Bombyx mori: one gene and its partner. The protein of the gene in region 1 interacts with the protein of each later gene in a pairwise test. Links are inferred from orthologs where the notes say so. Each region holds a gene or a part of one and is shown in the gene's direction. Other genes may lie near its edges.

Region 1 (4,371 bases):
GAATGATTTTCTGCAAAAATTGCAGTGGAACAGCCCCGACTCATGAATCGATCTTCACCATTATTGCTCCATGATAACGCGAGACCTCATACAGCACGAGAAATCATTTTAACTCTACAGGAACTGAAATTAGAAACCATTTGTCACCCTCCATATTTGTTAGACCTTGCTCCAACGGACTACCATGACCTTCCTATGAGATGGCAACAATGTATAGATAATAATGGTAGATATTTTTATTAAATAAAAATGTTAAATGAAAAAAAAAATGAATTTCAATTCAGTACAAATCGGAAATCTCATACTTTAACCCCTAATATTTAGAAGCTCTAGTTATTTAACTATGATACTGTAACGTGGTCGCTGAACTTTAAATGAGACAACCAATCGGCGGATATTGTCGCTCTCCAATCCAATATTGTCCCCAATCACAAATTAGGGTTACGCTACTCTGGGCCTTAGTGGATAAACTGCAATAAACACCACCAGTCTACCCTGCGACGATGGTTCAATTCAGCTTCTGAATTTTTTACAGCAACTTATAGGGATTTGGATATTTTATTATTTGATTAAAAGCAGATGAGCTTACAATCTACCCAATGATGGCTGTTCACACTAGTGATTACTGGCAATGCCAGATCCACAGCCAAAGGTGCACCACTACCCACTGCTACAAGCCTTGTATGAGTTCATTTCACAGCACAGGAAACTCTGCGGAAAGAAATTCATTTCAGAACTGAATGGCATCTGACAAAAATAATTTAAAAATGTAAGTTTAGTTTTTTTTTTGCATAAATCGGTGTACGAGCTATCCCCGGATCCCATATCTACATAGTAAATACCTGGCGGTACCCACTTTCTTACGTGAGTTCTAAATCTTAGTTAAATAGTACAAAGGCTGCCCCACTCTTGTAACCAGAATGTATTCCTGCTTCGCTGCAGAAATATACAGGGTGGCAGTATTCCTTGATTGTACCCATACAAAGTCATAAAACGCCTTACTACCAGGAATTATGCAAATTATAATATTTACAAGTTTGATTTTTTTGCAGCCCACGCACTTCTACTGCTTCGGAATTTTATTATCCAATGTTATTCCTGCACCGTTGGGGCTATTCGTGAACGTTGTAAAGTAGGCATTTCACCAGAAAAATTGGTATCTGCATACCGCGACAGGTATCCGCATCGTTCGATACGAATACACTAAGCGTCTTATCTTTAGACCACGATGACTTCGTTAAAAACTAGGATATCAATACCTACTTCATTAGGTAATAAACATATTCCACTAATACTCATACTCAAACTTGTCGTATTCACGCGCCATGTCATTTCAGATTGAAAATTTAATTTTATTACAATAAACATAAGCGGTTTTTTGGCAATGAAAATTAAATTCGAAATAACATTGCGGAAATTTTCATAGATCATAGACTTTTGGCAACCCTCTTTCGTAATGACAATTGATGACAAATTGATTCAAGTTTCAATCAACCAGCTGTAGATGTTCTAAAATTGCGTATAATTTTGTTAGAAATAATTGAAAATTCGTTTTGTATTGCTACTTATTGAAGGAACTAAATTACTTTTGTAATCCGTTTACTAACATTGTGTTAAAATGGCATACGCCTATCTTTTTAAATACATCATCATCGGGGACACAGGTATTGATTATATTTCCTGAAATTTGTTTGACGTATTTTTGTGTATACCTTTGTTTATTTGCAGCTTTGATACACAGCAATATAAAAACGTTGACATTGAGACACCTCAGTAACAAAAAATATAAATCATGTTTTCTTTAGTATTGCTATTAGTAAATAGGCTGGAACCAGGGTAATTGCTATCAGATAATTCCGCCTACGCTTTTACGCATCTTCAAAGGAATATTTTGAAATGCGTATTAATGCAAACCACTAATATTCAAAGATACAGTTCTTAGATGATAGTAAACAACAAACAATGTCTGATTGCTATTTCAAGGACATCCTTTGTTTGTTTTCAGCCAATCTTAATTCTGAGAAAAATCTTATTTTGCTGTTTTAGCTGACATCTTTGCTATAATATAATAATAATGAACTTTAACTTGTAATATGAAGAAAATATATATTCATAACTACTTGGAAGCTCCCTTTCAATCAATAAATAGTTAATGAATAAACTAAATTCAGCTTAGGTAACATATTTTTTATCAGATTAAGCTTGTGATCATATAATAATCCAAAAACATAGTATAATAACATATCATAGTATATAAAAAAGCACTGCCTTCTAAGATATATGCAAAATAGTTTTAAATTAGGGGGCGTAGATATGTACAAAATTTCACATTTATACTTTATATAATTTTACATTATCATATATATTATCTCTGACTGCATGATAAATTCGGATAGGAGTGTAAATTCGACCTACTACTTCACTCTGACGGATGTGAGACTACCTAATTTTGAACTTAATTTTGCCTTTTATACAAGAATCCAAAAAACATAAATGTTACACCTTCAACAGGTCCAAGTTAACATTTTCTCATATGTTATGGGTATTGGAGATAATAAAGATAGCACAAGATAATAAAGAGTAGACTTAGACCAATGTCTTTAATAAAGACTGACTGAGAATCAAACATGGTTACCTCAATATGGTAGTTAATAACTTACCTAACAGTTAGTGACCCTAACTAAATAATGATCTAATGAATAACAAGCTAATTATATAGATATAACAATAAAATGCCTACCCTATTGAAGAATTATCATCCATCTGATTATACCTAAAACATTAAGTCAATTATCAATACCACCTAAATATATAATGGTGACACTAACTCAGATACCTCCTCAACTGTCTGGACAAATGACTCGCTAAAGATACATAAAAAATTAATAAATAAAACCGTTCATTTTGTCCTTTGGTGTTTATTTCTCAAAGTTCATTTACATACATAAAGAGACAGGAATAAAAAAGATAAGCACGAAACTCTGTATTGTTTTGTTACATGTATCAATGAGTTCAATAAACAGTCATCATAAATATTAAAACTGAATGAGTTTGTAACATTTTAAAAATTTATATGCACTATATTTATATACTCAATGTAGTAAGTAGTCTCATGAACAATGAAATAGTGAAAACATTGAAAGTGGAGCATATTTACTTTCATATTTTGCATTTAATTAGAGATTTAATTGAAGAAAATTGTAATTTCAAAAAATGTTATAGTTGAGCAAACATGTTCACAGCCCACCTGAGGTTCAGTACTTACCAGAGCTACTCAGTTTTATGTTTTTTCGTTTAAAGGTTGAATTAATTTTTTAACTACAAATAAATAATTTAGTTAAAAAATATGTAATTTAAATATAATCTAAAATTTATCTACAATGTTTGTTAAGAAGTTGAGGTGAGGTAATTTCTGTGGGCACTGACCTATGTTAAACACAAATTGTATGTTTTTCTCACAAATTATACCAAATAAGAAAGTGTAACACTAGTTTTAATATTAAAGACAGTGTAAATTTTTATCTAATAACACTTAATCTCTGCCAAAGATCAGTTTTATATTTGATGCAATATTTAATTTATTTATTTATTACTTGATTTTCTTTCATATGGTTATGTGAATAGTGGTACTCAGGTCACACCAGGCCCTGATTATCATCCAGCATAAGGTGGGGTGATTCAATAAAACATTTTATTTTTTATTGCACAGATGAGTGGACGAGCTCACATCCCACCTGGTGTTAAATGGTTACCGGAGCCCATATACATCTACAACGTAAATGCCGCCACCCACCTTGAGACATAAGTTCTAAGGTCTCAGTATAGTTATATTTGGAATACATTCGCTTGTTTTTAATATTAATAGCACTTGTGTGTACTATCAACATACAATGCTCTTATCAAATATATTGACTAATTGATTGAAAAATATATTGAATAATTTTGACATTCTTCTTATAACAGACTTATATAGCTCTGATAATTTATTATGAAGAGAACAAAGACCATCAATCACCCTAAAAATACATTTGTACAAATAATATATTTCTTTAAAAATATGTAATAATATTTTAACACAAAAAATAAGGACCCTAATTTTTGTTAATTGAATGATTGATGATACAAATTAATATACTGTCAAAATATAAGATATACTTTACTACAAAATAAATAACTATAGCCATAACATAAAAAGATTATTTATTTTAGTTTTTTTACCATGGCCGTTTATTTTCCTTCCCAGGTGTGGGTAAATCATGTTTACTCCTTCAATTCACGGACAAAAGATTCCAACCGGTGCATGATCTCACTATTGGTGTTGAATTTGGTGCTCGGATGATCACAATTGATGGCAAGCAGATCAAGTTGCAG
Region 2 (4,164 bases), on another chromosome or scaffold:
TATCGGTACACCTACGTAATTTGGTATTGCTTCTTAAGGTATACAGATGTCGCTACATTAATCATGGCAGCTTTTGTTTGCCCCTTTTTGTACTATTTTTAGAATATTAATATGAAATATCGATTTATTCACTATCGTTTACAGGGTAGTGGAATCGTTGCACCTACGCAATTATTCTTCAGTCTTATGATATCTTAAAGTTGGCATAAGCGTTCATGGTATGTCTCCTATGCGCTCCGTAGGTTTGTTTTATCCAACCGTTTCACTAACGTTTCAAAGCAAACTATTAAGTATCTACACGCTAGCTTTTGGAGCAGGCATAGGGGGCCTAGTACCCGATTTCATCGAACTCTTCGAAGAGTTTGAAACTTAACCCTTTTTTTTCTTTCCAACAGAGGGTTGAACCTCATACATAAAGTTTCGATGCCTAAGGGTCCGCAGACGCTGGGAGTTGACCGCTGGCCCAATGATATTTTGACAGACCTACTAAACGACTCCCTTTGCAATCTTTCATCCGACGTCCGATCTCCGTCCGGGGTCGGAGTCTGGGCAGAATACGGGTGCTCCCGCGGTCAACACTACAACCAGACTCGCGACGCCACTCTTCGTCGCGAGTCTCGACCGACGGATCGTTGAAGCAATCGTCGCCTACCAACGAAGCCAGGCTACGGTAGCTCGTCATGTCACCCGGGCGGTGCCGCTCGTGTACCCTAGGTCTAGCGAGTCCGAATGTGACATTCCAACGAGCAGGTTGCTTTCCCACAGTACGTCCGGCGACGATGACCATACCACGTCGCCGCATCCTCCAATAGCGCTGGAGTAACGGTAGCGTGCCGCGCAAACTCGAGCCCCTCAGATCGCTTCGTGACCCTCACTGGGAGGAGAATGCGCCATCACAGACCTATCCGATTCCGATCCAGTATGAGATGCATTCGCGAAACAGGTGCCCTTGAACTGTAGTGTCTCTTTGGGAGGCGCTCGGGCAGCTGTTAGCAAATTTCACCCGACCTGTCTGAGTCCGTGCTCGCCCACCAGGTGAACCTACAAACACTTCTGTCCTGAACCTTCTATGTACCGGCTCCGCGGTCCTTAATAGGTCACAACCGTCCGCTATTGGACATCGACCATTCTTCATACACGCCACGATCATGCTGAGCTTATAAATACAAGAGAAAAATAATTATGATCCCAGGGGTTCCAGCCTAAAAAGTTCCAGTTTTGTATACATCGGATTTTTTTTTCTTTTTTAAATTAATCAAGTTTATTCATTTTGGAACGTAGATATATGCAAATTGTTCACGAAGCTGCGTCATAATAAATGTCGTGACGTTAGTTAAGAACATGCTCGTTGCTCGGTATTCGGATCAATAGTGTGTTATCAACGCAGCTGTGTAGGTGTTTACATGCGCGCAGCATTTAGTACTCGCGAAGCGGCGCTTCAATGAGGCCGTCTCCATTGATAACGTCGCGTCGCACTACTGCGCTGTGTTCCATTAAGGAAATGTGAACAATGCCCCTTCCTGATCTACTTAGGCGAGCTTCGAGCTATTTTCTCGGCATCGACTTCGACGACGAGGACCCACCTGATTACGTCGACAACGAAATACTATTCTGTAAGAATAACGTTTGCGTCCATCCTCCAACGATCGCGAGGCACGAATTAGATATCATACATCACCCCGGCTACTTGACTATCACGACTAAAGTGTTTACCGATCAGCACAATAACGCTAAACGTCCGACTTTGTTTTTGAATTGGATTCCGAACTCTACCCTTCGAAAATGTCCGTCTGCGGTTGAAACCAGTCCTAGCGATGAGCTCGGCTGTGTTGTCAACAAACCGACCGCTCCGAGGCAAATACCTTACACACAATCGCACAACGATTCGAACATATCGATAAAGAATGACATTGAAAATGCATTCTCTGATTCGTCGGAGACGACAAGCCTCAATTCTAATTCTGATAAACAGAGCCTAAAGTCTACCGACACTAGGTACACGCCGAACGATACGACGCAAGACGAGCTATCTTCCAGCTCTAAGCCAACAGTAAAATCAATTGATTCAGGAAAAGACAACGTGTTCAGCAGCTTCGAGAAGGAAGAATTGAAGAACGACGTGTTTATATATGATAAACACGTGAGATCTCAGTCTATGACCTCTGTGAACATTACAATCGCTAATCCGACTATAGAAAACGTTGATCTGACCCCTGATTCGCTGTCGAGCGACAGGTATATTAGGTCGCTATCGCTTAGCTCGTGTGACGAAGGTAATCCTAATTGGATGAGCACCCCCGAGTTCTTGGCGCTGAAACACAATTTGGTGTTTCCCGACAGCGTTCATAGCTCGCCGGTCCCACAGAGGCGAGCTCCGTTGAAATGTCGAAGGTGAATATTGTCGTGTGCTTACCTAATATTAATCGTAATGTATAGTGTTCGTGTGATCTTTTTTTTATTTTTTATTGTTTAGATGAGTGGACGAGCTCACAGCCCACCTGGTGTTAAGTGGTTACTGGAGCCCATAGACATCTACAACGTAAATGCGCCACCCACCATGAGATATAAGTTCTAAGGTCTCAGTATAGTTACAACGGCTGCCCCGACCTTCAAACCGAAACGCATTACTGCTTCACGGCAGAAATAGGCAGAGTGGTGGTACCTACCCGCGCGGACTCACAAGAGGTCCTACCACCAGTAAAATAAATAGTGATCATATAAATAGTAAGCTATTCCACAACCGCTAACTTCTTTAACGATTATGTTTTTAATTTAGTTAAATAAGGACTAACCGCACTTTTGACTTCTGAGGCGGCATCACCTTTGACAAATCGGAAGTTTGTTAATTGGCACCTGGTATATTTTGAGTTTTTCAGAAACTTACATGTCTTTAACGTAACGTTATGAACGTTTATAAGTGATCATGTTTGAAAAGTATTATGTTATTAACTCTGGTAATGGCAGGGGCGGCAATAGCGGCGGCTCGTCTGCCTACGTAGGCTAATAATTTAGTTTATAATGCGATTTTGTTGAGTCCGAACTAAATAACAATCTGTGACGTATATAGCTAGTGATTTTATAGGTAATTTGAGTTATAGAAGTTAATATTAAAATAGGTAATTGCGCAGTTAGGAAACGCAAAACAATTATCCATTCGAACCCTGAAGTACCTACCTAGAAGCTTATCAATAAATTTAAATTATAATAGTAATAAACTGTAATCATCAAAAACTCGCGATAAAAATCCGATACTGAAAGAGAGAGAGAGTATTCTTTATTAATACACCAACAAAAGACACAAGCGAAGCGTGTTATTGTTCAGTTTATTGAAATTAACTTGAGATGAGTTAGTGCATTCATGATTACGTAAAATTGTGAGTTGTGATGTGCTCGTGGATCAGTGGTATCATGGTTAAAAATTAAAAAACAAACCTATCGTAATTTATTTATCATGTTTAATTTTGAAATAGCTTTGTTGAAACCTGGCACCTTTCAACGTCAAATATTAATTATTAAAAAAAAAAAACGCTTACATAGTGGAACCTTCCGTATTCGAGCTAATATTTCCATTTGTGCCATTTTGCCGAAACACACATACGAAATATTTGTTTATTTAAATACATATAAAATGCAAAGTTATTGCTTATTTATCGACGCCTAATTCAACCACCCCAGGAAAGCAATAAAATGCATTATTTATGACTAGAAAATATGTAAAGATTTTTCGAAATTCAATTCAAAGAGAAGAGAACTTCAGAGTTTCCTTTTATAGAATAGAACAATAAATCATCTGTAGCTTAATTAAAAGGAGTTTTTTTTAATAAAAATTATAATTAAAAGGCTTAATTAAAAAAGCTTAATCAAAAGGAGTATTTTTTTAAAAAAAATTAAAAATGGGATAGTGTCCGGTAAAAGTTAGTTTCTACATATAATAAACAGGGTGCGTTTACGTCTCTGACCACGATGATAGGTTTAGGTGTTTTCTAATATGATAGGATTGAAATTATATTCGAAGATTTGTTGCGCTATAGATTTTTGTACTGAATTATTAATATATACCGACGCGCATTATCTACGGACTCGATCTGAGGACAGGCGCGAGCAGCTTAAACTACACGTGATTCACAAAACGTGAATTTACTAAAGTCACAAGTATTTTTACTT

The links.
Region 2: the proteins of GTP-binding protein RAB2 (region 1) and TBC1 domain family member 16 interact in a two-hybrid assay, tested with the Drosophila melanogaster proteins (2 studies listed by BioGRID). The link is inferred for Bombyx mori from reciprocal best matches to the Drosophila melanogaster genes Rab2 and TBC1D16.

What each region holds. Positions count from the first base shown.
Region 1 is NC_085125.1:6,240,376-6,244,746, reverse strand, and holds the start of GTP-binding protein RAB2, read left to right. Parts: upstream 1-1,451; 5' UTR 1,452-1,618; coding exon 1,619-1,664; intron 1,665-4,243; coding exon 4,244-4,371. UniProt on the Drosophila melanogaster protein: May be involved in bidirectional endoplasmic reticulum (ER) to Golgi trafficking. Together with Rab7 involved in promoting fusion of autophagosomes and endosomes with lysosomes, probably through recruitment of the HOPS tethering complex.
Region 2 is NC_085123.1:4,178,371-4,182,534, reverse strand, and holds the start of TBC1 domain family member 16, read left to right. Parts: upstream 1-1,314; 5' UTR 1,315-1,510; coding exon 1,511-2,391; intron 2,392-4,164.